Arabidopsis thaliana: one gene and its partners. The protein of the gene in region 1 interacts with the protein of each later gene in a pairwise test. Each region holds a gene or a part of one and is shown on either strand. Other genes may lie near its edges.

Region 1 (8,097 bases):
TTCTTGTGCATTGAACATTGAGAAGCTTCTCCAAACAAGAATCGCTGAAGCAGTTCAGTTGCGAAAGAGTTTGGCACTTCCCTCGGCTAATACTAATGCTTATCGTCTTGTCAACAGTGAAGGAGATAGGTATTTCGCTGACTGATCCCGTCATTTTTTTTTTGTTTTAAACTCATTTTCTTACATTTTCTCTGGTCCTGTCTTATTGCTCTGCTGCAGATTGTCTGGATTGATTGTGGATGTGTTTGGAGATATAGCTGTGGTAGCATCCTCTGCTGCTTGGCTTGAAAAGTACAGGATTGAAGTGGAGAGTTGCTTAAGATCAATTGACGGAATTAATCATATAAACTGGAGACCTTCTCTTGATGTTCTTAAAGAAGATGGTTTTGACATCTCAAGTCTGAAACAGACACAATCATCTACTCTCCCACAGAGATCAATGGTACGGTGTGTGGTGCCCTTAATCAGGTCTTTCTCTCTTCTTCAGATATCTTCATGAATATGGCAACATTACAGGGGTGAGAGCTGAGTAATGTTTCTTATACCAGGTTGTGGAAAATGGGATCTCATACGCAATTTCGCTAGAGGGACAGAAGACAGGGTTCTACACGGATCAGCGCGAAAACCGTCACTTCATATCAACCATCTCTGCTGGTAAAAGAGTTCTTGATCTTTGCTGCTATAGTGGTGGATTTGCACTGAATGCAGCGAGAGGAGGTGCTACCAGTGTTATCGGTACATTTCATCTCTCTCCTCCTTCTGATCCACCTTATGCATTGTCTAGTGAATCGTCTGATCAAAACACTTTCAGGAATTGATTCATCTTTACCTGCTTTGGAGCTCGCCAGAGAGAATGTAATCCTCAACAATATGGATCCAGAGAAGGTTGTTTTCTTTAAACAAGATTCAACAGAATTCATGAAGGGTGCACTGTCAAGAGAAGAGACATGGGACATCGTGATCCTAGACCCTCCTAAGCTAGCTCCGCGGAAAAAGGTGGCGTAGAGTACCTTTCTTTCGTTTCTTGAAAATAGTGATTGTCATAGTTTGTTGTTACATAAATGAGATTGCATCAATGTGGGTTGCCAGGTTTTGCACAACGCTTCAGGAATGTACAGAAATCTCAACTCGTTGGCAATGCGATTGACAAGGAGTGGCGGTCTTATGATGACATGCTCATGTTCAGGGGCAATGACACAGAGCGGGAAGTTCTTGGGGATACTTCAGAGTGCTGCAGCAATGTCAGGAAGGAAGATCACAGTGGTGCGGGAGGCAGGAGCTGCGTCTGACCACCCACTCGACCCATCTTACCCTCAAGGCCAATATCTCTCCAACCTTCTGCTTCGGGTGCTGTGAGCGCACGGAAGTTTGGTTTGTTAGTTCAACTTTTTTTTGTCCGTAGTTTGTAACCATACATAGAAGACTTATAAAAGGCAGATTTGGGGACAAAAGTAATATATTAGACTGGTTTGGAACAACAACAACAAAGTATTATGTGGGATTTAAGCTCTCACCGAAGAAACCATTTTGCAAGCAAGGATTACATAGTATGTAAGCAAAAATTACATTGTATGTGTACATGGATGGATAAGATTTACACACGCAGATTAGAGCTCTCTCTCTCCCTTTCCAAGCTTGTTACCGACCTCCAGGATTTCTATTCCATGACAAGTAGGACGGATCTCCAAGACGCCTGAAACAATGTACACATTTGTTACTCAGCATAACACACTGCGGCTATATGTACACGAATATTTTATTATTATTATATTGGGATATATAAGACAGTTTAACAACCAAAACAACCAGGGTTTAGCCGAAATACAAGTCTTGCATAGAAGGTTACCATCACGACAACAACTACATTTGAAGGATTTGCGTACCTGGGTTTCACAAGGTACATGATGGTAAATGCGAGGGCCAAAATGAAACAGATCCCGCCAACTGTCAGGTAAGCAATGCCAAGGAAATCGTTCTTCCCACCCAGCCAACTAGTGGTTGACAAAACAAGCTTCTTCTTTCCATTGAAGCTGTACGTGTTGTAGTTGTTGTTCAGCTTAACGTGTATGGTGTCACCCATCTCGAGGTCAGACTCTATCTTTCCGTAAAGTTTTCTAAATGTTGGCAATGCTGCGGTTCTCATCCACACAATGAGATCTTCTTGTTCACTAAGCTGCACATATGAAAAGAGGAAGAAAGATGTCAGCGGTCAATATGCTAAGCAGCATCCATGTGATGTCAATGGCAAAATGGACTGATCTCCAGTATTGAAGGGTTTACCGGTATTCTTGGATCTAAAGTAGCACCACCTGTGATATTCCCCTTTTGAAAATTCTTGGGGAAGACCTTGTTCCCAAACTTGTGTTCCTTGTCACTCTTCCATGCAATGCCTTTTTTGTTCACAGCTAGGCTTACATTGTTTCTTGATAACGCGTATGTGTCGTTAAAAAGACTCCAAGCAATTAGACCACACGGCACAATCGGCTGCCCACCAACATCATCCTCAGGCTTGCATGCACTTATTTGATTCTCGTATTTTGTACTTCTCAACTGTGAATCACTTCGACTTTTTACATACCTGTTTCAAAGACACCATCGACGCATTAGAGCTATAAAATCTTGACTAATCTAAGTTAGATACACACATCAGTCCTAGTTCCCGCCTACTCCATGATATCGGTGTTGATTTCCACATAGAACCCACATTGTTCATTATAGGTCTAATACAAAATTATATAATGCTACGGCGTAGTTGCTAACAAGTGTTATATACCTTCGGTGATTCTGGTAGAAATTCTCAAGTTGGTAATAAACATAGATAGGTTGCTTCATACGCTTTGTCACCTATGAATGCCAGTGGAGAAAAAGAGAAAGTAAACAACAAATGCAAAAATCTATCAAATCTCAAAGAACAAAACAAACGTGGCGGCAGAAGTAACTCACTTTAAGATCCCGGTTACAAACTTTATCTCCATCTCCTTGAATATATGCAACCTTGTTAGTCCTAGCAGGTGCCGGAATGCACTCAGTATCATACCGATCAACGATCTCCACAACCTAAACATGGGAGATGAAACACGTGAGATATGGAAGAGAATCTGATGAGTAGCAGCAATGCTTTAGTAACTACTTACATCCTGGGAAGCGAAAAGGGAGATAACTCCAAGGGGAATAAAGATAACACTGACTATCAAAAATGTCGAAATGACCTGCACAACAGCACAAACATGTAAAAAAAGGAGCTTTTAGTTGCGCCTTGTACAGAAATCAGATGTCTCAAACATCAATAGAGATTAGAAAGAAATCTAACCCAACCAGGGGTTAGAATTGGCTTGCAAGCTGGAAGCTCCTGCTGTGTGAACTTCGAATCTGCAAAAGATATTTGCCAACAAAATCACACCTTTTAGCCATAGCTTTGACCATGGTTCCCTAACCATCTTTGTAACGACAATTTTGCAAAGAATTTGAGCTAATCCAAAGCTGTTAACAAATTGTTATTGAAAAACTAGCAAGTCCAGAGAGAATTTGATCCAATTCGAATAAGACAGAAGAGTCAACGATAAGCCATAATGAATAATCGGAAGAAGATAGCGAAGGGAAGATGATAAATACACTTGGGTCGCTTTGAATTCTTCCTAGCGGCGGAAGAATCTCCCGATCCGGCTGCCCCCGCGCTGGACGACGCCGTATTGGAACTCATGGCGGAGAAAACGACGATTACTAAGCCAAGCCTTGAGGGGATTATTCCGGAATCTAAGGAGACCGAGATCGGAGGAAAAGGTGAATCGGACAGAGAGAAATCGGGAAGAGAAAGTAAAATGAAGAGGAAGAAGAAGAACAAGGGGAAGACGAAGATTCGTCGTCGTTAACAGAAAGAACCGGTATTATTCCCATATTGACGTCAAAATGAAAGGCCCACTTTGTGGGCTTTATAATGGGCTTTACTCTATTTTGTTGAGTTGAAGCCCAAAATCTCCCATGCATCATAAAATGTTTTTAAGTTCTACAAATTTTTTGATTTGGAACGTTTTTCCTTCAAATATTGGATACAGTAAAACCTCTATAAATTAATAATGTTCGGACTGCAAAATTTTATTAATTTAGAGGGGTTTTAATTTATCGATAATTTAATATTTATTAATTAATAGAAAATTTTTCCTAATTTAGTAACTTTTCAAAAATTTGTATAAGATTTTTTTTCATTATAGAAAATATCTTTCAAGAATCAATTACAAGTAAAAAATAATATCATATTTAGAAAATAACACCAAAAGTTTTTGATATAGTAAAATACTAAAACTATATTTCAAATAAGGATAAATACAAATTTAAGCAAACAAATATTAGAATTATATTTCAAAGAAATTTCTTACATATAATGTATATATATAATTGATACATTTAAATAATTATTAATTTATGATATTGATGAGACCATATATTTATATAGGATTTTCAAAAAAATTATTATCTTATTAATTTATCGATTTGTGTCACTTTTTATACTGATCCCAACTCGGAACCAAAAACATTTCTTAATTTATAGAGATTATTAATTTATCGAGTATTAATTTATAGAGGTTTTACTAGAGTTTATACTTTAGAGGATGGGATTATGATCAGTGTTAATTGATGAATACAAAATTTAAAAAGTTTAGTATGTTTTATTGCAAGTTTATGCATATACGATCATGTTGAATTTCAAACGAACAAATTATTATCTTATTATATGTTTGGATTTGAAACTGCAATATATATATATATATATATATATATATTTTAAAGATTCATTTATAGTAAGATTGTTTTAGGGATAGTATAATAAGAATGATTAAATAATCTTGCATTTGAGAGAGATCAATGTATGACCTAGACAAAAACGATGATTCGTCTTCAAGTGAAAACTATTAGACCACTATCACTTGGTTAAATTAAATTAAAAGTATCATAAACTAGAGATTTCTTCATGATAATGTTGTTTGTATCTTCCAAATCAATCACAAACTATATATAGTATCATAAACTCGAGATGTCTTTAATCATTGTCTTGTAATTCTCATCTTTTTTAATAAAGAATTTATTTTGTTTGTAGTGAAATTTGTCTCGATTTTTCTCTCTTCTTTGTTTTCAGCTTCTTTTCTTGAGAATTTTTTCTTTATTCATTCAGATTTTAAAACTTTTGTTTCATATTCATAACACATATATATAGTTAAATAAGATATTGATCCGCAGTCGGACATATATAATCCGAAAAGTTTTCCAAATTTGCGTTGCCATGACGCCCATGCCAGATTTTAAGTCTACAAGTATGCAAACCAATAAGTAATGTCGATCGATTACACAATTTTTACTTCCGTTTTCCCTCCTATATATGACAAAACCAACCAACTCTAGTGATTAAGTACCATACACACCTAATGATAAAAATTAAAATAAAATAATGCAATTTCTTTTTGTGGTAGAAAAAATAATTCCACAAACCTCCTCACCCTTTTTCACCAGTCAAACTAATTCATAAGCAAAAAACAAGTAAAAAAAAAAATACTATATATGAAGTACCCGAGTATATTTAAATAAGTTGAGAAAAGAAGTACTAGATGATAGTATGAGATATGGATTTATCAAAGGGAAGCGGGGAAAGTGGCGGAAGAAGAGAAGATTTCGTCAAGTGTCCCGTTCATAGAGTCTCTGCATTGAAAGTCTTGTTGGATTGACATAATCTCTGCTTCGTTCATAGAAAGTTGAGGGAAATCTTGGAGTTGAAGAGGAGGATGATATGGAAGCTGATGAGAATAGTTTGAGAAAAGATGATCATGATCGTCCAGAAGAGAAGATGAGAAATGAAGAGCAAATATGGATGAGCTGTTTGCTTCGTCTAAAAGGACCCCTTGAGTTAGCTCTGATGAAGATGTCTCCGCGGATGCTCTTTTCAAGCTCTCGTCTTCAATATAATTACCATCACATTTTCTCCACTTCTTCTCCTTTTCTTCTTCCTCTTCTTTTCCTACACTAGTGCTCTCTTCTTCTGCTTCTTCTTCTTCCCCTTTTCTCTTTGGAATTTGTATGTTCTTCTTAAACACTCGGCACAATGCATACGACTCCTGTTTTAGATCAACATTAATATTAGTCGATATGGTTTATCAAAAAAAAAAAAATTAGATCAGAAATGAATATAGATATATATGTTAATAGAAGTTTGTGCATGGGAAATAATTTACCTTCAAGGAGGAGGAAGGAGCGTGCGTGAGACGATATTCATGCATGACCCAATTAGTACGAAGGCCATGAGGAGCCCTTCCTCTATAATAAACCAGTGTCTTCTTCATTCCCATCTTCATCTTCTTTGATTCTACTGTACGATCTTTCCCCGTGGCCTTCCAGTAACCCGCTCGGGTCGCACGGTTCGTCCTAGAGCCATTTGGATACTTCTTATCCCTTGTGCTGTAAAAGTACCATTCCATGTCGTTTCCCGGCAAAAATGACTTTTCTGTTCCGCGTATTATCCAAATAAATAACTCATAAAACCTCCAATATCATATGTATGAATGCATCATGACCAATATATGTAATCTATAACGTCAGATTGACATAAACAAGCTGAACCATATATAGAGAGAGATATAAAGAGTTGGATCGTACCAGGCAAGTCCCATGGCTCGCATTTATAAAGATCAACTTCTGGGATGATCTCGAGCTCAATGGCTTGGCCGTTGACCTTCCTATCAAGATAGTAAGCCACCAGTTCTTCATCAGTGGGATGAAACCTGAATCCTGGAGGCAAACTCATGGGCGCCATTCAAAGTGTATGCGTTAGAAAACGAGAGAGAAAGAGATGAGAGAGATTAATTAAAGTGATTAGGATGTTCGTACGACATATGAAGGTGACTATATATAATTAAAAAGATGAGACTCTGAAGAAGATATGATATGGGAATGTGTAAAAGTATGCCATGGGATTGGCATCTTCTGAGATTAATATTTTGTCTTACTTTGGGTTGCTTTTTGGTCAGTGTTTGTCATGATACTCATCACACATATTTTCTAAAACCAATATATATATTTTAAATAAAAACCTAACTCTGGCTTTTGAAGATTCTGCAAGTGTGAAAACCCTAGTAGGAGGAGAGACGGAAAAAGCTTTAGCAAGAAGGCCCCATCTCACAAATACTCACATATATGAATGTATATGCTTATAATTCCGGTTAGACCTTAACGTGGGTCATGAATCATTATAGAGGGATTTTTATAACGTTTGCTTTAAACCAAAAATGAAGGCTTTTTATGATTCAACAGTTTAGGGGACCCATCTCTTCTTCTCAAACCAAATCTACCTGGCGACACCTAAACACTCGGCTTTTTCTTTTCTTTTTTTTTCGGTTTGACAGTTTTGTTATATTGTTTTATGTTGTTATGGTCTTATAATAAGAATACTTATAAATTGAATTCATATATATGATTAAAAAATGGGAGAATAAAAAAGCAGGAGGCATCCAAGTCGACTTTGGCTTTAGTGTTGGGAGGCTTCTTTAGTCCCTTTTACATATGGATTAAAGACGTTGTTCGGCTCTTTTACATCATTACTCCCACACAATCTTTGACTCTCTTTCTCTCGGCCCTTCAATTTTACTAACTTCCGGTCAAATCTCTTTTGCCTCGACTCTCGGCCTCGATCCAAAAGATAAATTAAAAAAATAAGGACATCTTCATTCTTCACATGTATGATATATATAACTCATGTCATATATTAGATGTCTCGTTTACATGGTTTTTTTTCGTTTGCTAATATATATAATTCACATGTAGACGAAGAACATTGTAAACGGAATTTAACAGAATGAAGTAATCAAACGTTTTATGTAAGGAAATGATCAAATACTGAGGGAGTCCACAAGTTGCGACATATATAAAACTCCTCCATTCTTATAAAGTATAATATTCAAACTTCAAGTAAGTAACTCTCCCTTTTCCGTGAGAAAGAAATAACAATAACATTTTAGGGAAGCTTTAAGATGTGGTCACCAATAACTTAGGGAGAGAGAGAGAGAGTGACAGATACAAAAAACAAAAGATAGCAACTGAAAAATATTTTGGCGAAAG
Region 2 (8,097 bases), about 15 Mb from region 1:
TCCATGAATCATATGTCTATCCTTGAAACGTTGTGAGTCTATAGTGGATCTCCATGTGCTACAAACGCATTTGAATTTACGGAGTGTTTTTACAGGAAGTCGTTCAAGAATATCTTCTACCACATGATGAGGTAACGTTACGTCCATTGAATTGTCTCGTCTCTTTTCTATTTGCTACATACTCTTTTGATAACTATCCATTGAGAGTTTATATACACTGCAGCGCGTAACTAGGATAATTTTCAAATATCTTCAATCATTATCCTCCATATTATTTATTATTTATATTTTAGATAATTATATGATTATTTTACTGTTTATTTTGATTTTTGGGTTTTATTATAAATAAGCCGTTTATACATTCTTTTGTATTCAGTTAATTGATTAATTAAATTAAAGAGTTTTTAGAATACTCTTCTCTTTTCGGTAGATCTTGAAAGATTTCAACGATTATAAGAAGACGTAGGATTCGGTATTCGCAGAGAATCAACGAATTCTTCACGTTTTTTCGTTTCTTGTATTGAGAAATCAACAGATCTGAGAGACTCTAGTTTTCCGGTATTCCGAATAATCAACGGATCTCTAGTCATATGAAGCAAGGATTTTCTTCTACTACTTCACACTGATTACTTTTTTTTCCTAAATCATATGAAGTACGGATTTTTTTTATTTTTATTTTTCCAAAAAAGATGAAATTAGGATTCTTTAAACAAAATCATTATAGAATTTCTCAAGGTATTTGTTGATAATAAATAATTCCATTTTAGTTTTGGAAAATTACCTTAATTTCGACATAAAATAACAAAGATAGTTTCTAGATAAAATAACAAAGATATTTACGGATCATACTACGTGAACGGCGTCCAAAAGCCAAAGAGCTAGATCAAGGATGCGAAAAGCAAAAACGGCGGAGGAGACGGGAACGCTGACGAGGAGAAGAAGACACGTTCCAAACGCGACGCTGGGACGAGAGTTCATGAGAAAAGTTTGGAGAAGAGTGAGTGCATCACATATAGTAGCGTCGTAGTTGCAGTAGAAACGTTTCTCCCATTGCATCCAATGAGAAGGAGGTTCAAAGTTGCGTTCAACCATCTTCATCTCATGGATTCGTTTCCTAAGGACCACCATGTTCTCGTCCACCGTTCTTCCTCCTCTGTAGTAGTCTGCACACACGGTGGTGGTTCGTCTTCTATTGGTTCCGGTGGCGATTCTTTGTGATGTCCTCAATGGATGGAACCTGAGTGTCGATGACGAGATCAGTATCATTTCCATTTTCTGTTGCTTAGGAGACACAATTGGTGGGATTATTTATAAGTTATATTTGGATAATATTTAATAAAAACGGCTAAGGCTGCTTTAGCGCGTTACCTTATCGTAATATTGATGGGGTCACCATCGATCACGTTTCCTTACAATTTCACTTTTGTTTCTTCTCAATTTCAGCTTTACACGTCTTTTACAAATTTGTCGACACGGCCAAATAAAAAAACATCAAACATGAAGCTCCGATGAAAAAGATGGATCGGTGTTAAATTGGAGATATCATTAAATGTCAATCCCATTAACGTACTATCCTCATAATTTATCAACCAATAATTATATGTACATTGACCTCTCCTTTGTTTACATCCAAAAAACGTACGAATCAATCCATATGATTAATTAAGGAATCATGGGGTACTCTCATACTTAACATTAATTTAAGAAATAATGGTGAAGTGATGTCTATTTTTTTTGTTTGTTCTAACAATGGTGAGGTCAAACGATGGACATAGATTATACACAGTAGCCCAATGGGCTTAATAGTTACCTAACTCTGAACCCAATTTTTTCTCGGCCCAACTAAAAGGATTATCGTCCGCCCTAACTCTCCTAATTTCGCACTATAAAGTTGCGAGTTTCACAGGTTTTAGCAGGAGCCGTCATTAGGGTTCCAATGAATTTTGTTTCAATTTTTCGATGTTCTGAATATCATTCTCTCAACAATTAGGCGAAAGATTGATTTTCATATGATTAGTAGTTTTCTTTCTGTTTTCCGCGAATGTTTTTCCGAGAAAATTGAATCGGGAAAGAGGCAAAAAACAGGGGAGAGATTTTGATAAATAGCTCTGAAATACCTGTAGGTTTTCTACGGGGTGCCCTTGCTCTTCTTTCCCTAATACCAAAATGGCTTCATAGTACGGGTTTCTTTGTGCTTTCTCTGTGTTTTGTGTATTTTTTATACTCAAATCACTTTGAATCTCATTCACAATCCCGCCTCCAATCGCCATTACATGTTTTTAAAAATTCTTTAGTTTATGCTTCAAATCTCCTTATTCTTACCAAAACAGTTTATCTGAATCAATCCTTAAGTGTATACTGTATGCTAACTTTTTTGAGAAAGTTTAAGACTTCAGGAACAGGCAAATGATAAACTAAGTAGCAAAAGTTACCAATTCGTACTAAAATGAACTTGTGAACATGACGTAACAAATCTAAATCCAGAGTACAATTAGAATCTGAATTGAATCTTACAGAACTAAGTACAAGTACACAATATTTAGATTGAATGGTATAAGCTCGACGAAGTTGTCTGCTTCACATCTTTACCACCGAACAATCCTTTCCCCAAAACCCAACCTTCAATCATATCCCTTGAATTCACAGCTTTATCTGTCGGAACAAAATGACCAGCTCCTGTAACCGCCACGTGGCACAAATTCCCCCATCTCTGAACATAACCAGCGACCACACCGTCTTCATCCTTCCACACACGCCTCTCCGCCGTCGAGAACATTCCCAATCCTGACCAGTTCATAGTCTTCATCCACTCCTCCGTCGAAACGACGCCGTCTCTTAGATCAAGCATACCTTGATACAGCAAGACTTGAGTCCTCTCCAATGCGTACTCCACCATGAACTTTACGCTCTTCATCACGTCTGCCCGCAACACATCTTCTACTTCATCACTACATTCCTCAAAACGAACCGTTTCACTCACTCCCAAAACACGTTTTGCTTCTCTCTGGTTCAAGAGGTCCACCACGAGGTCTGTTCTGTATGGAATCGCCCGTGCCGTGTTGTAGAGCGTCGCGAGTCCTGTCATGTTACTTAGTAGCGTCAACAGTTCGGTCCTCGCGTCTGCTGCTTCACGCCATTTCTGGGACTTCACGAGAGCTACAGATATCTCCTGCGCTTTTTGCAGTTCAACTCTCTGTTTTGCGTTGACCAGACCCGAGTAGTAGACGTTGACCGCATGGGTTTGAACCTGGGTCACCGGGTCGGTCAGCCCGTTTCCAATGGCTAGCCCCTTTAGATTCACTTTCCCATTGGGTTTCTCTTTAAGGATATAGTATCCAATGGCTGGAACGTACTTCCCGGCGTAGCTCTCTCCAGTGAAGTAAACCGGTCGGTTTTCGAAGCTTGGGTTTTGTTCAAGGAACTCCACGAGAGCGGCGTAAAGATGCTCAGCGACCTGTCTCTGATTTGTGGGTATGTCTTGTTGTGAGGCTGCGATGCTGAATCCGACTCCTATTGGGTTATCCACAAAAAGTAGTCCGAATAGACGGTTCCATGCGCCGGGGTTGCGCTCGAGGTCTGTGGCGCGTGAAACTACACGCCAGGGACCGAGCTCGTAAAAGTTGCCAATCATTGAAGAGCAGCCTGGCCCACCTTGGAGCCAAACGAGGAGCGGAGTGTCAGGAAGAGGTGTGGTTGGCTCTTGGGCTTCGTAGAAGGCATAGAACATGGACGAGCCGGGTGCGGGTTTAACCGGGAGGTAGCCAGATTTAGTGGGGAGAGCTTCATCGGGAAATAGCGGTGGCTGAGGAGACTCAACGGAGACGGCGAGGAGGAGAGTGGAAAGCAATATGAAGAGTGTAGTGGCTTGCTCCATTATTTCCACTAATTGGTGACGCCTTTACATAAAGATCCCTTTGTATTATTTCATTTATTTCATTATTTGACTGCAAAACATTACGTTTATGTTTTGTCTTGTATAACATGTGAATTTTTAAATGTGTAACAATAACATTTTTGTCAAGACGTGCTTGCTTACTAACCTAATTGCATTAACATGTGAGTTTTTTAATTTAAAGGTTTTTGTTTGTAGATGATTTTCCATAATGTATATTATTTTAAATTTATTGTTGCCAAAAGAAATAAAATCTAAAAGTTTTATTGGGCCGAAAAGAGAAAAAGGTCAGATAGGCCCATAAAAAGTTGGACAATACAAAGCGTTTACAATTTGTCAATTGCAAATTTCGTGAGATGCTTCTTCTACTCGTCATCTCTGTTTGGTAAAGTGATCACAAGGTGTTCGATATAATACCTGAAAGAGTTTCCGAAGGTGTGAAGATGATGATCTTGGATGTTTGCTCAGAGGTTATAAAGATCCAGAAGCTACGACGGGCTGTCTCTTACGCCGGATTCTACTGCTTCACTGCTGCCCTCACATTCTTCTATACAAACAACACGTAATGTCTTTCGTCCGATCTCAGTTTGCTTCTTTTGGTTGTTCTTTCTTTTCAATATCGGAATTCGCAGATGATTTCAATTTCTGGGTTCTTCTCTTGGTTTCTGCTTCAGGTTTAATTTGATTTAATGTTACTGATTCGAATGTTGTGTAGAACAAGAGCAGGATATTCCAGGGGAGATCAGTTTTATGCATCTTACCCTGCTGGCACCGAACTTTTGACCGACACAGCTAAGGTTTGTCCTTGATGACAATTTTGAGTTGTCGTTTACAGTTTATATAGTTGATTAGTTCTGTGTGGAACTGATGATTGGGGTTTATTGGAGTAAAGCTGTACAAAGCGGCGCTTGGGAATTGCTATGAATCTGAAGATTGGGGTCCTGTTGAATTCTGCATAATGGCTAAGCATTTTGATCGCCAGGGAAAATCTCCATACGTTTACCACTCCGTAAGTTTCTTCAATCTCTTTATGATAATCTCTGTGGTGCGGATATTTTAGTGTTGTAAAGGTCAGTTTCCATAAGTCTAGAATCTTGATGGTACTGACTTTGTGGTGCCATTGATAGAAATGTTTGTCGAATCATGTGGGGTTAGAACCAAGAATTGAGCTCATTTTATTGTGAATGCAGCAATACATGGCTCACCTTCTATCTCAAGGCCAACTCGATGGAAGTGGCTAGTGGCGCCAGCTCTCTTTGTTTCAGCTTTGTGCCTAATCTTGTTATAGCAAATTCGAATCCTGGTATCTTGGAACATTTGTATGGTGTTTGTATAAGTCCGGAACCGTACCATTGGCTTACATGGATTATTCAGATTTGTACTCTGAAAATTAAGAGCATGTAATTCCCGCAGAGGCACAATGTAATAAACATATAGCATAGCAAAGCAACAATCCGGGGAAAAACTTTGGTTACCACCTTGAAAGAAATGGGGAAAACTGACAGAGCAAGAAGCTTTCCATCATCAGCAGAGACGTTTGATAAAAGAAAGGTCAAGATTTCATTCCACGAAAAATCTGCCGAAAATAAACATCTCATTCTGGATGTGGTATATGAAATGGGATTGTACATGGAGTTTGAAAAACTTGGCAAAGAGAATCATGGAAGGAACTAACCATTTGAGCTGCAAGGTCATACAACACTTCCAAGAATTTATTTAGACAAACACAAATGCGACTGGTTTTTTTTAATGAGTGAGGCCCATTAAAGAAATAGTATGATATTATAGGCCCAAACAATCCCAAAACCCTTGGCCTTTTTCTGTCGCGCTAAACCCTACGATCTAGAACCTTCCGTCTTATGTGTCTCTGCCCCAAATTAAAAACTCAGAAACCCTAGAAAATTCCGATTCATCAACTGAGAGAGAAGAAGAATTGAGAAATGATGAAGCGTCTGATCCCAACGTTCAACCGCATCTTGGTGCAGAGAGTCATCCAGCCCGCTAAAACCGAAAGCGGCATTCTCCTACCTGAGAAATCCTCCAAGGTAAAAGAGCTTTGATTTCACGATTTGATTCTTCTGATTTTCGCCTCTTAGATCTGAAAAATAAACATATTTTTGGGTGATTGCAGCTGAACTCAGGCAAGGTGATAGCTGTTGGACCTGGATCAAGGGATAAGGACGGGAAATTGATTCCGGTCTCTGTGAAGGAAGGCGACACTGTTCTTCTTCCAGAGTACGGTGGTACACAGGTCAAGCTCGGCGAGAACGAGTAAGTTAAACCCGCTTCTTTCTTATTATTGCCCTAATATTCTGATAAAATTCTGATCTGATCTAATTGAACCTTTATGTTTAGCTAATCATGTTCAGGAATCATTATCCATTAATTAGATTAATGGATGGAACTAAGGGAATTACTTGTAAGACTGTGAAGATATTGAAAATTTTGTAACAGAGGATTTAAAAACATTTTGATCAATGTTTAATAATGCCAATTTGAACACCAGATTTACATATTGATTGGTGGGTTGATTTTAGAAACGAATAAGAAATTACAAATGAAGAAGAATTTGACTCAAAGTGAGTAACTTTTGTGTTTGTGTGATGGACGCAGGTACCATCTCTTCCGGGACGAGGATGTTTTGGGAACTTTGCACGAGGATTGAAAAGGCTAAGCTTGCCAACTTAACCACGAGGGTTCATGTTGGTGTTTGTGTTATGAGGAGAAGTCATTTATAAATTAGTTTATCTTGAAGATGTGGTTGGACTTTGTTGTCGTTTATCATTGAATCTACCTTTATGAACCTGTCTTTGAATTTTTACAAATGGGCATCAATCACATGGATAACCCAAGTGTTGCATCTTCTCATTTTGTGCTTTTCCGTAATCTGTGGATGCTTTTCGTTTACGTTTAGGCAGCAACTTCAATAGCCAATGTAGACGATAGCTTAGTTGACTTTGCTTATTCATGATCATGCTATAACAAAAGAAATAAGCTCATTTGGCCGCATGGCTTTTTTTATATAGCATCTCCTTCTTCACATATTGACAACTGAATCAGGTCGAGAAGTAGGTCCATGTCTATGCATTCTGAAAGTTGTGTCTTTTGATTTCCTTTTCACAATGGTTGGAAAACTACTAATTTTGGATTTTCAGTTGTTTAACCCACTCGTTTGGATGATAAGACAACTGTAGTATATTGTCTTGTCGCACCTTCAAATTTAGTATAGGTTGGTTGATTGAAAATATTTCATCTTTCTAACCAAAAACTGAAAAATGTGTATGAAACTCATTGCTATTTTTGGACAAGTCTCTCTGCCAATACAAATTAGACCATACGTAGAAACCGATGCATTGAATTCTCACGTTTAACAATAGTTTTCCATAGAAACTGAAATCAAAGAATTGAAGAAAGAAAAAGACTAAAGAACTATAACACATAAGAAAAGCCAAATAAATACTCAAGTACATGTGATTAATCGATCATGCTTCCACCGCACGAGCGCATACATACATAACATAAATAAAATTTCTCTCTCTTTTGCTTACTTCACTCACAGTTTCGCCGCCGGGATAAATCCGTTCAATCGGCGTTTGCCACCTGCCATTGTTACAAGCAATGCATTATATCGTTAATGGCGTAGCGCATTGAGAAGAGAGAGAGAGAGCAGGGAAACAATGATTTCCCAGGTGGAGAGAGATCTGTCGATTCAAAATCGGCTTCCGGGAAGCGATCACACTACTCCTTCTCCGCCAACATCTCCTCATCTCTGCCGGAGCCGGTCGAAATCCTCCTCTGTCTCCGGGCAACAGCAAAGTCGGAACGTCGCTCACCGTCTCTCATGGATCATTTTATCTGTTCTTCTCCGGCGTCAGGGAATTCTCCTTTTCGCTCCTATCATCTACATCTCCTGTATGCTTTTTCACCTACACGCGGCGTCGTTTGATGCCTCTCCCATTATCCACCGCCGTCCTGCTCCGGGATCCGTCTACCGGAGCCCTCAGGTTTACGCTAGGCTTCGCGGCGAGATTGAAGCCGATAATACCACGGCTGATGCGGTGAGGTTTGCCTCCGTTTTATCCCGCTTGTGATATCGTTTTGAGAATGTGGCCATTGTCGAACATAGATTGATCCAATTAGAGTATAATATCTAGGAGAACGTATAACAATGTTGAACATAGATTGATCTCTGTTCTTTTCTTGTT
Region 3 (8,097 bases), on another chromosome or scaffold:
TCAGCCAAAGGCAACCGAATAAACTCTATTTGTTTTTCTTTTTTCATCTACATTTTTTTTTCTGTTTCAAAAACTCTCTTTTTATTTTACGATAAAGATCCTTTGCTCGTACCGGCTCTGTTTTGGTGTTTTGTATTTTGTATTTTTCGTTTTGAAATTCCATCATTATACTTACTCCATCATCATTACTTTATTTTTGTTTTCATTGTTGTGGTGTGGTGGCTTTATCTTTCTTTCTTTTTTATCCTCGCAACCAAAAAGAGCATGATTGTTCCTCCGTTTGATCATTGATTTTTTCTTTAAAGAAAAAATTGACATTTTTGGTAGAAAACGAAATAAATGCAGTCATGATTTTTGCTTAATGTAATTCCTCATTAAACGTGTGAAGCTGCACAACCCATGTGGTGTTGCAATGATTTAACCGCAACTATAATCATAACTTAGAGAGCTTTAATAATCTCCCTTCTTCTACTTCTTCTTCTTTTTTCTTTGTCATCTACCATAATTTAACTCTCTTTTTTTGATTAAACAGAACCAAGTTTTGTCGAGATGGAGAGGCTAAACTCGAAGCTGTACTTGCAAAACTGTTATATAATAAAGGAGAACGAGAGGTTGAGGAAGAAAGCTCAGATTCTGAACCAAGAGAATCAACAACTTCTCTTCGAACTCAAACAAAAGCTCTCGAAAACCAAGAACTCTAGTGGATCAAATCAAGGAAACAACAACAACAACAACAACCTCTCTTCATCAAGCTCTGCTTCTGGATAATCCTGATGCAACAAAACTCTTTAGGACAAGACTTGGATTCGGATAATTAGGAGAACCCATCATTTTTATTTTTTATTTTATTGGTGTAATGTAAGAAAAATTAGCTAAGTAATAGTGGTTAGTGGTAGTATTATTAATTATGGAGTAGTTTTTATATTTTTGTTGGGTTCTTCTAATTAAATTACTACAAAAAGGACAGAGTGTTGTATGCTCTCTGGCCTATCTTCTGAGGGATATTTTACTTTTGTTTCCATTTATATGTTAATTAGATTTTCTATTTTGCCTTTTCATGTGGGGTTTGGTTGTTTAGGACATGGTGGATTCTGGGACTACATTGTACCTTCTGCTCTTCTCTTAAACAACCAGTATCTTTAAATTATTTATTTATCTCTTTTATTATTGGGTTCTACATTTTCCTTTATCTTTTATAAATTTCATGGTCTTGAAATAACAAATTGTGAACAATAAGATTGGAAAATGTGACTTTTATTATTCAGTTATGTTAGTTAAGAGTTTTCTAATCTCGACCAGATTTATTTTCAAGGTACCATGTAATTGATATTAACAAATTTGTAAAGTGGTTGTTTTCTTTTAATTATTGAAATTTATATATGGATAAAGTAGTGATAAGGTCCATAAGGATATCAGAAGATACGAAAAAGTGTTTAGGAGAACATAGGTTTACCACCAATTTTAAATCACGTGATCAAAGTTGTATCCTATTGACTGTATCATATTAAAACGTCATTTATTACCTCCTTTACAAAAAAACAAATATTTCTTAATGAAATTTTGTGGTGTATTTTGCGATGATAAATTTAAAATGTAAGGTAAATAAATATTTTGAATTTTACTCACTTATTTATAATATAAATAAATAAACGTAAATTAACATAATTTTGCAAATTTTTAGTATTAGTGAAAATTTAGTTGATTTTTCTTTTTGTATTAGTTCCCTTTTTTTAACGGTTTGTATTAGTTCAAATACCAGCAATATTTATGCTCTCTATTATAAAAGCTCAACTTACAACTATAAAATAAGAATAGGATTTATGAATAGATCATAATAGTATTGGTCTTCATCTTTTTAAAACTATCCACATAAACAATAGTAATGAATCTCACTAGATAGTAGTAGTGTATAGTTTGGGTAAAATACATTTTAGAGTAGATTACTGCATATTGGTTTTGTCGAGGATGATTTTCCGGTTCAACAAATTCTGTTATATGCAAGCATAATCAACCACATCTTCTTTATGAAGAGATCCTCTCCCGTTAAATCACCGTTTACTTCACACAAACACAATATATGTGTAGTGTACAGATAATTTATTGACCATAAATTCAACTATCCAAGCTTCAAATTTCGTAGGAATATGACATAGTAATCAAGTGGTGGTGAGAAAATTACTGAGAGACCTACGAATCCTAGAAACATAATTTTCGTAACTCCTAAGTGAAAATCATCATCATAAACTCAGACTTTGAAAGTCAACTTTGAAATATAATTTTCAGAAAATTATATCCGTTTGATGATTACCCCCAAAATCTCTTTGGATGATCATCAAGCAAGACATCATCTTCTGAATCTCTGATGTAAGATTATGGACCTATGTTCAATTTCTAATCATTGTTTCTCTATTTTTATATATAAATCAAATGAATTTTGGCGTGTTGACATTGGACAATATAGTTTAGGTTAGACTTGGGGATGTAGATCATCCTTCTTCCTGTCCCTCCTAGGATAGCAAGAGAATCATTAGGGATAATACCGGAAAAAAATGGACAATTAGCCAACACTAATTTTGGAGACTTGAACCAATTATTATTATTATTATATATTTACAAGGAAAAAACTACATAAACTATCAAGAAACATTAGCTTGCAGTAAAAGACCATAATTCCAATATTGTGTCAAAAAATAGATTCTAAGACATGATGATATATAAAAAAAAACTTGGAGAAGTGTCAATTCCACAAACAATAGCCAAGCCAACACGGACAATCGTTGGTACTATCGTTGTACATGAGAGGCTTTGTTAAAGGAAAGAGAAGTAAGACGAACCCAACCACACCGCCTAAGAACGCTGCACTCACCAAACCTGAGAGAAGAACCATAACCATGTTTAGCTTATTCTTTTGCATTTGCATTTGTTAACAACCTTGAACTTTATGTCTTACCTTTTCCATTTGCGTATAGCACAGGCAATCCCATGTAGTTGCAAAATATATGAGCAAACAAAGGAGCAGCAAGATGTCCTGTAAAATTTACACAATGCAGGAGACAATCATCCATTAGAAAGGCTTTTACATGTATAAGATATATAAATGCCTGGAATGTTACCGGTTCTGATGAAGAGAAACGATGCATATGCACCAAAAATGACTGTGTAGCCAAGCTGAAGACCTGATCAACGGACAAGTGAAGCTCAGGACTGATCAACAAACAATATTATTATGATTATGGATGGCAAAGACATACCAACAATAAGTGAAGCCCGGAGATAGCTGCGGTTATGCCTGATGTACATCTCTCTAAAATGGTTTAAGTGAGCTACACAAAACATATAAAAGTCAGACAAATCCAGTAATTTTCTTTTCACTCGAGTTGTAAACTGTTATTCACAGAGAGAGAGAGAGAGAGAAAGAAACAAACCCAAGCTAAAGAGAACTGGGCACAGAAAGATGGCAGTGTTAATCCTAAACCCAGCACACAGAAGCAAAGGTATCATACATGATCGGAAAACCAGCTCCTCAGTTACTGGTGCCTGCAAATCATAAGAAACGCCAGCTCTAACAGATTATAACTTGTTCGATTTAGAACTTACTTATACACCAAACTGATGCATATAGTCCTCAGACAATTAGCAAGCAATGCCTTATGCAATTTCAATAAAGAATTGACAAGATAAGCACACAGAGATGGCAAACATATGATTACCACGATAAAATTGCGCCAAACGGAAACATTAGAAGCACTTGTCAATACCGAAGCAGGGATTGTTTGGAAAAAGCTTCTGATGTAATTAAAGGAACTACATCCTCCGCCATTTTCCTTCCATGATTCCAGGAGAGTAAACAACTTCAACACCAAAGACCCAGCATAAACGAGCGAGGTCAATAGAAGAGGATACACCACTCCTTGCCACTGTTCCATATCACAAAACATAACCATTTTAATATGAATAGTGTACAATAAGCTACGAGTAAACAAATTGAGACAAAGAACTTACCAGATGATCTTTCCTTATGCCATAAACTCCAAGTATATAAGAGGCCTCCCAGCTTTTTATCTAACATTACTCAAGCAAAAAAGGAAGACAAGTTTCAGAGATTCCTGTAACTAGCGTTGAATTGTACCAAACACAACATAGTCACCAATATTTGAGTGTTACATTCTTAGAGACAAATTGTGTGAACCTACAACAACTAGTAAAAGCTAATTCAACTCTCAACAAAGTTACAAATACATCAAATTTCTTTACTTTTAGTTTAACTTTCATCAAAACACCAAATGCATCTAGATTTGGACCTAATTTGGTTACAGATCAACGGAGAATGAACTTCAAATCGAGAAATGGCGGTACTCAAAGAAGCTTACCGGAAGTATAAAAGCTGTGAAGACGAGAGATGCTACAGTACAAATGGCCGCGCAGATGAATCGCCGAATCATGAATTCGGTGTAAGAAGAAGCCGACGGGAGACGGAGTATCACGGTGGGAACGTAAAGGATCAAAACGTAGAATAGTGCCATCGCGACGCAGGTAGCCACCGCCAACGACATCGAGATACTCTCGCCATCGGTGGCCATAATCGTTGAGGAAGCTCCGGCGAAGAAATATACCGGCTAATAAGTGTCGAAGTCACCGCTGGTTAAATCTTAGTCCGGCGGTCTTCTAATCTTTAACCAATTACATCGTGCCACGTTATAGACTAAAACGGATGACTACTGGGCCGAACAGACCCATTGGGCCAATTTCGTTTATAAAAGAGGGTATAACGGTAATATCATCAGAAGATATACGTCACCATGCCAGTTTCGAAGAAGCCTATTGGTTATATTTCGTCATTAACTAGACGGAATGACGAAACTACCCTCAGATGCCTTCTTCTAAAGTTGTCTCTTCACTGTCAAGAAGAAGAAGAGAACAAAAAAAAGAAAGGAATTTTCTCTGAAACGTCACGAACGTGTGAATTGGGTTAAAAAATTCATCTCATTGATCCAAACTTGAAACCCTAATTTCGAATCTCTTTGCTGATTTGGTGAGATCTCAATTTCGGAAAGAAGATGACGAAGGATTTCGCAGTTCCACCTGTAGTTTTCCCCTCCGGTGGATCTTCAGGCGGTGCTAATGTCCAGCAACGAAGATTCCCAGCGACACCGTTTCAACCGCCGCGTCCCTCTTCTTCCGCAATCCCTTTCATGTCATTCGACATTGGATCCGCAGCCGCGTCTTCCGCTACACCTGCCGGACCATTCGGCGGGACAATCGCTTCCTCTTCTTCTTTTGGTGGAGGTTCAGCTTCGTTTGAAGATGAGGAGCCATTACTCGACGAGCTCGGTATCCATCCAGATCAAATCTGGAAGAAGACTAGATCGATTCTCAATCCTTTTCGGATTAACCAAGCTGTTCACAAAGATTCAGATCTATCTGGTCCGATCTTTCTGTACCTTGCGCTTTGCTTATTTCAGTTGTTAGCTGGTAAGATCCAGTTCGGTGTCATACTTGGATGGATCGTCGTCTCCTCTATCTTTCTATACGTCGTCTTTAACATGCTTGCTGGTAGAAATGGGAACCTTAATCTCCATACGTGTACGAGCTTGGTCGGATACTGTTTGCTTCCGGTGGTGGTTTTATCGGCGGTGTCATTGTTCGTTCCCCAGGGAGCAGGGCCGGTTCGGTTTGTGCTTGCGGCTTTGTTTGTGTTGTGGTCCACTAGAGCCTGCTCTACATTGGTGGTATCTCTTGCTGATGGTGGAGAAGAGCACCGTGGCTTGATCGCGTACGCTTGTTTCTTGATCTATACTCTCTTCTCTCTTCTTGTTATATTTTGATTCCATATTGATAGATCGTGAATCACTTCCGATGCTGTGTTAGCAAGTAGCAAAAAAAGGCTGCAATATAAGTTCTTTGATGTGAGGTTGAATTGGGTGGGAATAGCACGGTGTGTAAAGGCTTTTTTGGATAAATTTAGAAAGGTGTTTAAGAAATTTGATTCAATGTTTGTATCTGTCACTTGATCTTTAAGGTTCTTACTTAAGAATTATTTATACAATTTGGTCGATATGTCTTTTGACATAGTTTGTTCCTGGACATTAGATTTGTGAGAGTATTGGAATTGATGTTGCGGATGATATGCTTCTGTACTAATGCAGAAGAGGTTTATATGCTTCCTATTTCATGTTTATTTTGCTATTTACTTTCCCGGTGTGAGGCTATGAAGATGTGCTGACTTCTTGCTTGGATTATACTTAAAGGTCCCAAGTTTTAGGAATGATTGGCATTAGATTTGCTTAAAGTATGGCTCCATGTAGGTAGAGTAGAATTTTGAGTTGGTTTTAGAGCTGTTGGAAACTTAGGCATAGTCTAATGAAAGAGTGATTAGTATTTAGTGGTTTGCTCGGTGTTGGTATGTTCCCTGATTAGGTGGCATAGATAAGTAGGGACATGGGATCTTGGCTTCAGGTTCGTCTTCTACTGTCAATCCCAGAACTGCACTTACTTTTCCTGATAGTATTTGCTGTGTCACGGAAATTAGAGAGAGATTTATCCGCAATTCATACTCTCTTAGATGGAATTTGTTTTAATGTGTCGAGAAGAATCAGCTATGTCCAATTGAGTGAGCATAGTATTTGTCAGCTTTACCTTCTCCTAAAACATTCAGTAGAACTGGTGTTAGAAATGATCTCTATATTTTCGTGTTGCAACACTCGTTCCGAGGGAACCATTTTTGTGTTCCACCTTTTCTTTAGAATCCAAATTGACTCAAAGGGGAGTAGGCAATTGTTTTAAACATACAATGTAAAGATGTAAAATTTCTGATATATCTGGTGGATGTACTTAAGACATACCCTACAATTTCGATCCTTGGACTCAATTGAAACCAAACTTTTAGGCGGCTTGGTCTCTCCCTTACCAGGATCTTGTCAAAGGAAACCATATATACTCATACTCACCTAGTTCTTCCATGATATCCAGATAGTGATAAACCATCTGATTAAACACTCGTAACACTTGCATATATTGACAAGATTATCTCTCAAGTGTCTATAAGATACGTATTTGTGTTTCAAGGTAAAATTGTAAGATATACATCTGATTAAGTATTCTTACTCTCAATTCTTTGATTATCAACATAGAGAACCCCTCTAGACCAAACCAAATCACTCCAACCTCTTGATGTTGCCGGTACGGCATTAGAGATTTCGGCAGCTGGTAATAGACAGTTGGCCAGTAAAACGCTACCTGTTCTCGCCGGTAATCTCTGGCAATCATACGGTGGAGATGTGGCCGTATCACTGACGGCCTCCAGGTTTATCTCGAACAGATCATCTTCGCCGTCTTCTTCACTACTTCCCTCGCCATCGTGTTCAGGTTCGTTTGCTTCTTGTTTCTCCTCTTCTTCTGTTCCACGGTTAACCAAACCAACACAACGTGTCATTGTTGATTTTGAAATAATTTCCGGTTTAAGAGTCCTTGTGGTTTTAAACTTGATTATGTGGTTAATACGTATATATAAAGGTGATTAAAGTAGAAGGTGGGTTAGTAGAACGGTCCTCAACGAATATACAACTATCTTTGTTGGGAATTTTTGGGTCTTCCAAAAGATTTTTTTTATACAAAGAAGAAAGTAAATTCCAAAAGAAATTTGTTATAGACTCGTGACTTGAGATCGAGAATAATAATAACTTGAGTACATTAAATGTGTACGGTGCAACAGTCACTGTTTAGATCTAACTATATTAATAGCTACTTCCGAATAATATATGTTTAGGACTTAGGAGCAAATGATAACTTCTCTTATTGTTTCTCAGTTCGTTGCCACAAACATGTAGTCACCAAAACGAGTCTATTTTTACTTGTGACTATAGCACAACATCCAATCGAATTACACGAACCGGTTCAAGATATTGAATCCTAAGCTTTTCTCAAAAGTCGATTCCAATTCCGAATGTAATTGTAGAGTGCATCAACGACATCATTGTCAAAAATAAATGATAATAATTATATAATGGTATTATACTATAAAAGGTTTTATGGAGGAGAAGGTACACCTAACACGAATCAAATATATACCTACCAACATATAAACACACACTCTTTTGT

Evidence for each region.
Region 2: the proteins of AT1G54320 (region 1) and AT1G14990 interact in a protein complementation assay, tested with the Arabidopsis thaliana proteins (one large-scale study listed by BioGRID).
Region 3: the proteins of AT1G54320 (region 1) and FACE2 interact in a protein complementation assay, tested with the Arabidopsis thaliana proteins (one large-scale study listed by BioGRID).

The regions. Positions count from the first base shown.
Region 1 is NC_003070.9:20,274,094-20,282,190, forward strand, and holds AT1G54320 (LEM3 (ligand-effect modulator 3) family protein / CDC50 family protein), read right to left. Parts: upstream 3,889-8,097; 5' UTR 3,701-3,888; coding exon 3,613-3,700; intron 3,370-3,612; coding exon 3,311-3,369; intron 3,210-3,310; coding exon 3,135-3,209; intron 3,058-3,134; coding exon 2,944-3,057; intron 2,845-2,943; coding exon 2,774-2,844; intron 2,579-2,773; coding exon 2,281-2,578; intron 2,174-2,280; coding exon 1,884-2,173; exon of another isoform or gene 1,722-1,883; intron 1,694-1,721; coding exon 1,639-1,693; 3' UTR 1,441-1,638; downstream 1-1,440. Other genes in the region: AT1G54310 (S-adenosyl-L-methionine-dependent methyltransferases superfamily protein), read left to right, coding at 1-129, 220-442, 549-735, 812-996, 1,090-1,356; NAC020 (NAC domain containing protein 20), read right to left, coding at 5,622-6,101, 6,219-6,487, 6,640-6,796. UniProt on the Arabidopsis thaliana protein: Required for the lipid transport activity of the ALA/ALIS P4-ATPase complex.
Region 2 is NC_003070.9:5,164,390-5,172,486, reverse strand, and holds AT1G14990 (uncharacterized protein), read left to right. Parts: upstream 1-4,222; 5' UTR 4,223-4,335; coding exon 4,336-4,454; intron 4,455-4,607; coding exon 4,608-4,689; intron 4,690-4,784; coding exon 4,785-4,901; intron 4,902-4,962; coding exon 4,963-4,992; intron 4,993-5,082; coding exon 5,083-5,133; 3' UTR 5,134-5,456; downstream 5,457-8,097. Other genes in the region: AT1G15015 (F-box family protein), read right to left, coding at 1-147; AT1G15010 (mediator of RNA polymerase II transcription subunit), read right to left, coding at 844-1,272; scpl50 (serine carboxypeptidase-like 50), read right to left, coding at 2,540-3,874; CPN10 (chaperonin 10), read left to right, coding at 5,833-5,937, 6,024-6,163, 6,506-6,557; AT1G14970 (O-fucosyltransferase family protein), read left to right, coding at 7,570-7,950.
Region 3 is NC_003071.7:15,211,090-15,219,186, reverse strand, and holds FACE2 (farnesylated protein-converting enzyme 2), read right to left. Parts: upstream 4,802-8,097; 5' UTR 4,581-4,801; coding exon 4,371-4,580; intron 4,063-4,370; coding exon 4,003-4,062; intron 3,918-4,002; coding exon 3,711-3,917; intron 3,538-3,710; coding exon 3,426-3,537; intron 3,324-3,425; coding exon 3,252-3,323; intron 3,177-3,251; coding exon 3,114-3,176; coding exon of another isoform or gene 3,058-3,113; exon of another isoform or gene 3,029-3,057; coding exon 2,951-3,028; intron 2,872-2,950; coding exon 2,738-2,871; 3' UTR 2,574-2,737; downstream 1-2,573. Other genes in the region: AT2G36300 (Integral membrane Yip1 family protein), read left to right, coding at 5,058-5,825; AT2G36295 (uncharacterized protein), read right to left, coding at 7,091-7,432. UniProt on the Arabidopsis thaliana protein: Protease involved in the processing of a variety of prenylated proteins containing the C-terminal CAAX motif, where C is a cysteine modified with an isoprenoid lipid, A is an aliphatic amino acid and X is any C-terminal amino acid.